Arabidopsis thaliana: one gene and its partner. The protein of the gene in region 2 interacts with the protein of the main gene of each other region in a pairwise test. Each region holds a gene or a part of one and is shown on either strand. Other genes may lie near its edges.

Evidence for each region. Proteins that work in one complex are often made in the same cells at the same time.
Region 1: the proteins of AT2G42390 (region 2) and ARFA1D interact in a protein complementation assay, tested with the Arabidopsis thaliana proteins (one large-scale study listed by BioGRID).

Annotation. Positions count from the first base shown.
Region 1 is NC_003070.9:26,562,424-26,567,796, forward strand, and holds ARFA1D (Ras-related small GTP-binding family protein), read right to left. Parts: upstream 3,389-5,373; 5' UTR 3,263-3,388; exon of another isoform or gene 2,739-3,262; 5' UTR 2,730-2,738; coding exon 2,582-2,729; intron 2,488-2,581; coding exon 2,417-2,487; intron 2,337-2,416; coding exon 2,217-2,336; intron 2,130-2,216; coding exon 2,011-2,129; intron 1,934-2,010; coding exon 1,852-1,933; intron 1,745-1,851; coding exon 1,739-1,744; 3' UTR 1,295-1,738; downstream 1-1,294. Other genes in the region: AT1G70480 (OBP32pep, putative (DUF220)), read left to right, coding at 96-254, 344-466, 544-687, 766-1,185; AT1G70500 (Pectin lyase-like superfamily protein), read right to left, coding at 4,156-4,473, 4,557-4,673, 4,756-4,864, 4,941-5,022, 5,121-5,328. UniProt on the Arabidopsis thaliana protein: GTP-binding protein involved in protein trafficking; may modulate vesicle budding and uncoating within the Golgi apparatus.
Region 2 is NC_003071.7:17,649,751-17,654,760, reverse strand, and holds AT2G42390 (kinase C substrate, heavy chain-like protein), read left to right. Parts: upstream 1-2,117; 5' UTR 2,118-2,251; coding exon 2,252-2,345; intron 2,346-2,440; coding exon 2,441-2,554; intron 2,555-2,733; coding exon 2,734-2,829; intron 2,830-2,955; coding exon 2,956-3,150; intron 3,151-3,240; coding exon 3,241-3,380; 3' UTR 3,381-3,655; downstream 3,656-5,010. Other genes in the region: VOZ2 (vascular plant one zinc finger protein 2), read left to right, coding at 1-271; AT2G42395 (uncharacterized protein), read left to right, coding at 781-858, 959-1,195.

The DNA.
Region 1 (5,373 bases), on a different chromosome or scaffold from region 2:
ATGCTCTGATTCCACACATTGCTTTTCAATACCTTGTGATGTTTTTGATCTTTAGAGGAGCTGAAAAAGGAAGCATTTTGTTCTCTTTGTCACAGTCCCAGCTGAAGAATTTGACAGATGATAAGCATGGGATTGGTTCTTCATGGAGGCAAGATAAAGGAAACTCATCGATCTCCATGCAAATTGATCTGGAGAAACAGTTAGATTGTTGGAGGGAAAACCCTTCGTGGACTGATCAGATCCCAGTCGTTAAGGTGAGCAAGAGATGAACTTTACAACATGGTTTTGTCAGAGTCTTTGAGAATCTTGTTATATGATAAATAATAACAAGATTTCTTTACAGGTGGGTATTCCAAAAGGATCGCTTTGCAATCTTAAAGCCGAGGTGAATGTTGGTTTACCTCCTGATGCAGTCTATAACATTGTAATTGACCCTGACAATAGAAGAGTCTTCAAGAATATCAAGGTACGTTTCTTATAGATTATCTTGTTCTCTCTGTTACAGTTTTAAGCTCCTGTGATTCATTGGCCTCGGAATTACAGGAGGTTATGTCGCGGAAAGTATTGGTAGATGACGGGTTAAGGCAAGTGGTGGAAGTTGAACAAGCAGCTTTGTGGAGATTTCTCTGGTGGTCAGGAACAATCTCAGTTCATGTCTTGGTGGATCAGGATCGGGCAGATCACTCTGTAAGACCTCTACGATTATAACAAAAGTCTCAAGTTTCTTGAATGGTTCGTGAAAGGGGATTTAAATGGGTGTTGCAGATGAAATTCAAGCAAGTGAAAAGTGGATTCATGAAGAGATTCGAAGGAAGCTGGCAAGTAAAGCCTTTGTTTGTGGATGAACATATGTGCGATCGTTTGAAACCGAAAACGCTGGAGGAGTATAACAGGTGCACTGGAGGTAAAGGGAGGATCGGATCTAAGGTAACGCTGGACCAGCTAATACAGCCAGCGATTGTTCCACCTCCGCCCATTTCTTGGTATCTCAGAGGAATCACGGCTAAGACGACAGAGATGCTTATCCATGACTTGTTGGCTGAGACCGCCAGGATCCGTGCAGCTGGAGTAATGGAGGATGGTCACTCGCCCGATGAGCAACGGATTGGCACACCTGGAGATATAAAAGAAAGATGGTCTGCACATAGAAGAACATCAAGGAGACGACGCAATGATTTGTGTTAAGTCACAGACTCACACAGTCCATGATTCTGGGATAATAGATATCTTGAGGATTTTTGGATCACCCAGCAATATGTGAACATAATATAATATTTGTTTTCATAAGATACACTGGCATATAAATGTGGGAATCTATTCCTTGTTGAAGAAGTTTACAACCATGACTCAATGACTCATGACCATTACAACCATGACTCAATGACCAATAGTGATATGAATTTTCAAATATACAAAATTTCTAATTCATTTATTTTGGTAAAGAAAGAAAGATATTTCTGTGATGAAAACGATGCAGACGTGAAAATAGGATACGCAAAAACAAGAAAGCAAAACAATCAATCATATTAATCCAGGCACAATACACGAAAGCTATTTAAAAGGGTTCTTCTAGTAAATTTTTAGGTACAAGACCATCTACTTGCACAATAAGAAACATTCACATACCCAAAAAAGCAAAAAGGTTCAGATAATATTTATAATCTCTCTTGCATCAAGACAGAGAGAGATCCCAACACAGCAGACAGAATCATCTCGATGCAACGCAATTTCTCCCTCATCATGCCTGTGCAAGAAGAGCAACACGAGGTAAAGATATAAGCATCGCAGAATAAAAAGAAACCAGCTCGTTAGATTTGTGTGTTTTTGAAGAAACTTATGTAGTTATGTTACCTTGCCAGCGATGTTGTTGGAGAGCCAGTCCAGACCTTCATAAAGCCCTTCACCTGAAGTGGCACATGTGCTCTGGATATACCTGTAGCGAGCAAAAACACACATCAGTATCGAACAGAAATTGTTTGACTTTTGAAACTTATAAGGATGTTTATTTACCAATGACGCTGACGGAGGGAGTGAAGGCCAAGCTTATCTGTGATTTCAGCAGCGTTCATAGCATTTGGAAGATCTTGCTTGTTGGCAAACACAAGCAACACAGCATCACGCAGCTCGTCCTGCAATAAAAGAGTTGGTAAGTAAAGGATTTTCAAACTAACAAAACTATGAAGAAGAACTCTTTCTCTATAGCACTGGATATTTACCTCATTCAGCATCCTGTGGAGTTCATCTCGAGCCTCAACAACTCTGTCTCTGTCATTGCTATCAACAACAAAGATTAGACCTTGAGTGTTCTGGAAGTAGTGTCTCCACAAGGGACGGATCTGAAAAAGAAGCCAAAAAGTCAGTTTATTTGGGTGAAAAGTTCCTTCATCAAACAATAAGCAGTACAGAGACTCCATACCTTGTCCTGACCCCCGACATCCCACACGGTGAAACTAATGTTCTTGTATTCCACAGTTTCCACATTGAAACCTGTTGATAGAATTTAGCATATCACTAATCGATCCTAGATTTTATACCATCATCACAATTTAAAAACCAGTACTAAGGTGTGAAGCTTCTTTACCAATAGTAGGGATGGTGGTGACAATCTCTCCGAGCTTGAGCTTGTACAAGATTGTGGTCTTACCAGCAGCATCAAGACCAACCATCAGAATTCGCATCTCCTTCTTGGCAAAAAGCCTGCTAAACAGCTTGGCGAAACTCAACCCCATTTTGCTTCACTGCAAACAAACACAACAAAGTCTAATATCAAAAACCTCATACACATTCTATATCACGCGATTTTCATCTCAGAAATCCTAAATTATGCATCTATAATGCCAAATTCAATTCTTATATCCTCTAAGAACCTGATCAATACCAAAATCGTCACTCACAAACATCAAATTTCAACGAGATCAGGCCGATCCAAACAGAGAATCAAACGTCCCGAGATATCATAATCTCTCTGATACAGATCTTCAACATCTCAGAAGCTATCAGATACAATCACAACGACGGAAAACGAAAGTGAATAGAAAATTCAACAGATCCACACTATCAGATCGTAATCAGAAACGTCGACATATATACACATCTTAAAAATAAAATCGCATTATCCATTCATGAGCAAGATCAACCTCAACGAAATCAATCACGACGATTCCAAAACCATCAAAATTCACAAGAAACGAGAAATGCAGAACACATACAGATCTACGCTAAATTGAGAATGTATGAGCACAGATCTTAGATCAAAGCGTACCTACGAAGAATGTTTCGGAGAGATCTGAGAGAGAGAGACCGCGAAGAAACGGAGAGAGCGAGAGAGACTCGAAGAAATTTGAAAGAGAAATGTGAGAGAAGCTTAAGAGAAACGCGATGACGCCGAAATGGGAAGTGGTGGAGAGCAATTTTATAAGGGAGAGGGGTACCGGTTTATTCGTCGTTTCTCACGCCAATTAACGAAATTGCCATTTGTAATTGACGGAATTACCCTCTTCGAATCTTCTATGACCAAGTGTGCAGGTGTTCGCGAGCTAACCAATTAAAACTTAACACGTGAGCAATACTCTTTTCTTAAGTGCTACTTCATCTCCAGTGAAAATTTCGTTATTTGTTGATGTTGTCTGACCAATAAGAAATCGTCATTTCAATCAATTTTGATAAATTTTATAATTATTAAAATAATTTTAATATATATAATATGATTACATATCTACATCTATTAATGATATTTTTAATGAAATTTTGTTTGTCTGGTTTGGTTAACTTTGGGAAACGTTAGCCACAAAATCATTTAAAAGATTTATTTTCAAAATGATAAAATTAATCAATTGAGAGACAATTCCGGTTTAGTATTAGCTTAAAAATTTAAACATTTGGGTCTGGTTTTGCTGCCAACCCTTAACGATCATAACAAAACATAGAGAGATGAGCAAATGCTACAAACTACCAAATAAGCATTCATTTTTTATACAAAAATATTAATCTTTACCTTAATTATAATCAATTTATAAACACTACAATGCTTTTCAATCTCATTGTATATGCTTCATTAACAAGCTATATATATAAGGTCAGTTGCTAAAGATGAATTACAACTAAATATAACGTGCACATTCCTCACTACAACGACCGTCAAAATATGTGATCACCTTAAAGCTCATCATGAGCATTTTCAGTTTCTTTTTCGACCATAATAGTTTCTGCCAAATACTGATCAGTTTGGTTTAAGCTCTTGTCGTCATGCGAATACAGACAATCCGCAGAAGGATGAACTACACCATAACCAAACCCTTCAGCAGAGTTACAATATGCTTCTACTTTTCCATCATTGCCTTCCAAGTTGATATTGTTGAGGACAATGTGGCTGCAAGGGACTGCGTCACTACACTTGAAGTTGATGGCTTTTGAGCTTTTCGTGGTTCCGGTTATGTTCCTGTACATTATCTCGGATATGTGAACCGCCGATGTCTGCAAAGAAATAGGAATCAAAAGATTAAGTTTCTTTCTTGAGGTTTGTTGATAAGTCAATGGTTATGTGAAAGAATTAAAACCTGGTTTTGACAAGTTGATGGTGAATCACAGTAGAATTGATCGATTATAATCGGATTCGCAACGTCCTGCATCACTACGTTCTCGAAACGTACACCCTTTACGTAACCATTACCACCCTGTTTTAAAGAGTTTCATCTTTCAATCAATCCTGAAAACTCTTTGGAAGGAAAGCAAAGATCAATAGAATTGAGATTTTACCTGCCATGTCTTGATTCTTAGACCATTAGTTGTGTTCTTTAAGAACGCAGTTTCCAACACAACTGCAGTGACGGTTCCTTTCGAATGTCCTTGTCCAAGACTTCCAATACTACAGAACAAGAAATTATTTGCAATCAATAATAATATATGTGTCTCATTTCTTTTTATGGTTAGAGATGGTTTACCTGATTCCATGTCCTGGTCCACAGTAGATCCTCTTCATCTTTATCTTGGCGCTTCCATTCACAATCGAGACACAATCATCTCCTGTTTTCAAGTTGAAGTGTCAGCTATAACATTTTGAGTTTAATATTATAATTACCATGATAGTGTTTTGAGTTAAATAGAAGTTTTTGGTGAAGAACCTGTGCTGATTTTACTGTCTTGGACTACAACATCGGTAGATGCGGTTATATGAATTCCATCAGTGTTGGGACTGTCTCCTGGAGATGTGACCATAACTCTAGAGATTCGAACTGTAGTTGACCGTTGTATGATCAAGTGCATCTGTTGGCTGTTCCGGATAGTTAAGCCTCTCACATACACATTTGAACTTGAATATATAGTTAGAGCCTGTATAAAAGTAAAGACTTTCTTATAAGCAAAATCAAACATAAA
Region 2 (5,010 bases):
ACAACTGATGAAGGAACAAGAAGGCCAGAAGAGATCTTACTATATGGATCCACAACCTCCAGGTCCCTTTGAGTGGCATCTCTTTGAATACCAAATCAATGAATCTGACGCATGTGCGTTATATCGCCTAGAACTTAAAGTAGGAAATGGAAAGAAGAGTCCTAAGGGAAAGATTTCAAAAGACCCTCTGGCTGATCTGCAGAAGAAGATGGGACAGTTTAAAGTGGCTTCAGACAAACCCTCTCCTCCAACCAAAGGTCGTAAGGAGTGAAGTTAGCTATTGGTAATCTAACTCAAGACTCCTGCAACAATAGCTCCAAGTTGTCTCCAGCATTCTACAAAAGAGCCATCGCCACCTCTGTTTTCTTTTTTTTTTTCTTTCTGACTGTATTATGAAGAGATAGGATCTTTGATGTGTTGTGTTAATATGGACAAGTCTGGTCTTTGCCCTTTTTCTTGATAGAATCGTAGATGGGTTTGTAAATTTTTGCATTTTATTTTTCTCCTTTAAAACCACAAGGATTTTGTTAACGAAGTGGTGTATTCATATTTCAAAGGTACATTTGCAACACCATTGATTCTTTATTCCAATTCTTATCTACGTGTGTGTGTGAATGAAACTTGAAACCAATACAAGTCACTAATGCTCTCAGATTATGTAATTGGGCTTTACTGGGCCGTTTATAAAATTGGGCTAGAAAAAGGGAGACAGCAGACGACAAGAGCATCCTTGTTCTCTTTAAACCCTAAATTACAAGCAAATCACCAACAGAGAGAGTAATGGCGAAAAATTCTGGTAGCTCGTTTGAAGCAGAGAAATCAGAGGGAAAGTGTGTTACGACGACTACTGAAGCACAAGTAATTCAAAATTCTGGCTGATGAATTATGTATTTGATTTTACGTATTTGTAATTCACTAATTCTCACTGATTCATACAATTTGTGTCGTAAATGAACAGCAAAGTAGTCAACCTGTTTTGAGCAAGGAAGAGGAGAAAGTGAGAGATAGCTACTTGTTCTGCTGTGAAAATTTCTACACTCTTCCTGAGATGATCAATTTCATGAAGGAGATTCATGGTGTAGAACAAACCACTGTGACAAAGGTTTTCAGGGAACTTTTAAAAGGTAGAAAAGCTGAAGCATATCTCAGAGAATCTCAGAAAAGAATGAAGGCAAGAACAACAACAACAACTTGAACAGAGGAGGATGAGGCTTAGGTTGCTCTAATTTGAAATTCTTTGGTTTGGTTTACTGGTTAGTAAGAAATAGACTTGTATTGTCACATTTTTTTATCATATTTTGAGGTCCATTGCTTTGGGTGTATGGACCAGACTAGGACAAATGAATAGGAGATGCAAAAGGGTAATAATGGAGAAGTCAGTCTTGTTGGTCTATTCTTGTCCGAGTCCATGATTTTTAGAGGGAGAACTAGAAGGAGGAACTAAAAGTTGTTTAGGTTAATGGTTTAGGTGCTAAGTGTTGGCTCTGTGTGTTACTTATGACTCGTGGGATCTAATGTCTTGTGAAAAATCACTTGTGAGATAAAATGGACATAGTCTAGAGAAGAAGGTATATAAGAAGAAAAGCAGTCAACTTAACTACAAAATCACAACGGCTCACAACTGTTTTATGTTGTAGAAGTTGGTTGCTTCTTAGAGTGGTTCATTCTTCATTACCAGCTAACCGCAAATAACCGTGACTTGAAGTCTTTCGAATTACACTTCTTTCACTCGTGGTTCAAACTTCTTCTGTTCAAGTTGTTATGCCTTCTCCAGCCATTACTTGATTTCAAAATGGTGTTGATGGTCTCATTCTTGAAGGCTTGGATGTTTCTCAACTTTTTGCTCTTGAACAAGAGCCAAGAGGTGATGGGACTCCGTAGTACAAACACAATTTAAGAACGTTTGAGTAAGAGTTTTGATTCACATTGAAAAAAAAACTTAGAAGAAAAAATGAACCAAACTAAAATAATCAAATTAATTTAGTTTATTAATCAAGAATTAAATCAAGTTTTAATAATAACCTGAATTGTAGATTTTTTTTCTTTTCTTAATAGTCGAATACTGAACACTGTAGTATTAAATGAAAACTCAAAGCCCAATATAATTCAAAGCCCATCGAATCAAATATCTGGCCACTCCACTTATTCTTAACTTGAAACTTAAAAGCCGAAATCGTAAAGAGAGAATCTGGTCGGAATAATCCACTCGAATCTTAAAACGACGTCGGTTTAACCAAATGCGAGTCAACGGATGCTGCTGCAATGCGTCGTGTTGTGTTCGTCACTCGCCGTCGTCGTCATCTCCGTCGCTTCGACCTCTCCCCTCGTTGGTGTTCACCCTTTAGGTTACTTCTTCGATGACTCTTATCTTTATTATATCGACAAATCTGAAAAATGTTCTTGTTCTCTGATTCTTACTTACTTCTTTGTTGTGAGGCAGATGAAAAGTATTTCGACTCAGATGTTATCAAATGCAAAGATGGCTCCAAATCTTTCACAAGAGATCGTCTCAACGACAACTTCTGCGATTGTCTCGACGGCACCGATGAGCCTGGTACACACTTTTTTCTCAATTTAGAATCCAGAGAGCTGAGATGACATGAGACTTTAAATTCTTTCCAGATAAAAAGATTTAGGACTAGAATTGATCGAATCTTATTCTCTTTCACAATTTCAATTATGAAAAATGTGTTCTTGTGAGTAAGTTTCTGAATTTCTGATTTTGCATTACAGGAACTTCGGCATGTCCAAATGGCAAATTTTACTGTAGGAACATTGGAAGTTCTCCAAAGTTCGTTTACTCTTCTCGTGTGAATGATCGAATCTGTGGTCAGTAGTTACTAATGTTCTGAATTCGACTAAATGATTCTCGTTTCAGCTGTCTCTTGCTGTATGCTAGTAATCTACATGTTTTTGTTGGATTGGATAAGCAGCATGACATTGTCTGTTTCTCAGATTGCTGCGATGGAAGCGACGAGTACGAAAGTAGCATTCATTGTCCCAACACTTGTATAATGGGTGGTAACGTTAACTACATCTACAAACCTAGAGCCAACCTTAAATCTATACACTTGCAACTCGGTTCAACGCCTCATCCAAAGGAGTTTTATACTATAGGAAATCTTCAGGACATGGTCAAGAATCTACAAGGTTTTGCAACTTTTCTTGGGAAGCTTATTTGTTTTGTTTGATTGTCTAGCAAACTGATACAAAAACAATTGTTGTTGTTGTTGTTTCCAGGTATGAAGCTTGTTTTCGCTCTTCAGATGGTTTTTATCGGTTTCTTAGTGATCTTATGGATGCTTAGGAGTCGTGCTCGGTCTAAGAGACGACGCTATCTGCTGAAGAATGTACCTCCCATTAATAGATCAGCTAACTAACTCCCTGGAACTTGTATTATACTTTTGTGAAGCTTTTACGTGGAACCTGAGTGTTAAAGCCACATATGTCAAGTGTCATTACTAGCTATACTTATTCAGTGTGAGATTGTTTGTTCCTAGTTACATAATTGTCTTGGTCTTCATGTTTATTAAGCCTTCAGATCCTCAGACCATAGTAGGTACCGATGAGTCTTATCACAAGTAAGATAGTCACATGATCTGCAGATTTTCTAGAAAATGGATGGATTCACAATTTGAATGATCTCATGGTGAATTATTCGACTGATATAAGGTTTTATGAAAATGAACTCTTGTTTGTTTCTCACAGACAAAATCAATATACAAAAAACATTACAAGCCATTGAAGAGAAGAGAGAAATTTACAGTTAAAAAATCCTGAAAAAATGATTTGTAAACTCAAGATTGGAAACATCCACAAGTTGCCTTTGGAACAATTCTAATGGCCCAGTATTTTAGCAGCCGTTTCTTCTTGCTTCTCCACGCTTACCTTCAATCATTGCACTTCTTTCTTCTGCTTCCTTGTGAGTCACTGAAACCTAATTCATCCTCTCTGCATACTCCTGCTTTCTTCTTCTCTAGTTCCTCCTGCAGTGAAACAAATTCACAAACACTTCACTTCTCATTGTTCTCAATCACATTGAAACAGTATCAGCTCTCTATTGCTAAGTTTATTTTACCTCCATTTTCTTGAGTTGCACTTCGACAGCTGCTTTCTTCACTTCTCAACGGAAAACTAGTCACATAGTTTAGTTTAAGGTCACCTCTAACGAGTGAAGCAGACCAAGATTTCGCCAGTGCAGATTCTGTAAGAATTTTCATTCTACTAAAACATAAACAGCAATATGCCAAGCCTTAACACAAAGAGTGTCACAGGTAAACACATACAGAGCAAATGCATGATTCTGTCATAAAGCTTCAAATTTAGCTGTAATATATTACCTCCATGGATGTGTATTGAATCGTAAATAGGCCGCTTCTCTCTCGAAACAAGAACTAGCAATGGTAGCCTGATGTCAACGTATGTTGTATGAATCAAGTCCCCAGTGCAACTTGAAGGTAAAAGAACTTCTTCACACTGTTAGGTCGAAAGGTGAAACTTAAAGCTTATGTACTAGACAAGGCGATGGAACTTCTTCACACTGTTAAGGACAGACTTAGAGGTAAAAGAAAAACTTGAGTAGCTCATGGAGTTTAGCTAGAGGTTGGTCGCTAAGATATTTGTAAACTGAAGATGCTAATGGTTATATTAGGGATGATGATCTTGAAGGAATTATTTGGAAATGACATAACAGATGATGTGTGATTTCCTCCTTTAAAACAAAATCGTTTGGTTTTGATAATCATGAAAATATTTCTATGAGATTACTGTCCGACACACATTTAGAGAAATAATTCACTGACTATATATTCCGTAAATACATGTACATATAACTTTCTCAAGTTTGATTTATAATTTTAACATTTCAACAAAACAAAAAAATATAGATTCCGTTAAATATTCCTATCGATCCGGAAAAGTAAAAAATTGGACAGACAAAATATCCAAAATTATACGATTTAAGAGAGAAAAAAAAAGTAGCAAGTGTCCTACATGTGGGTGTGGTCTGGG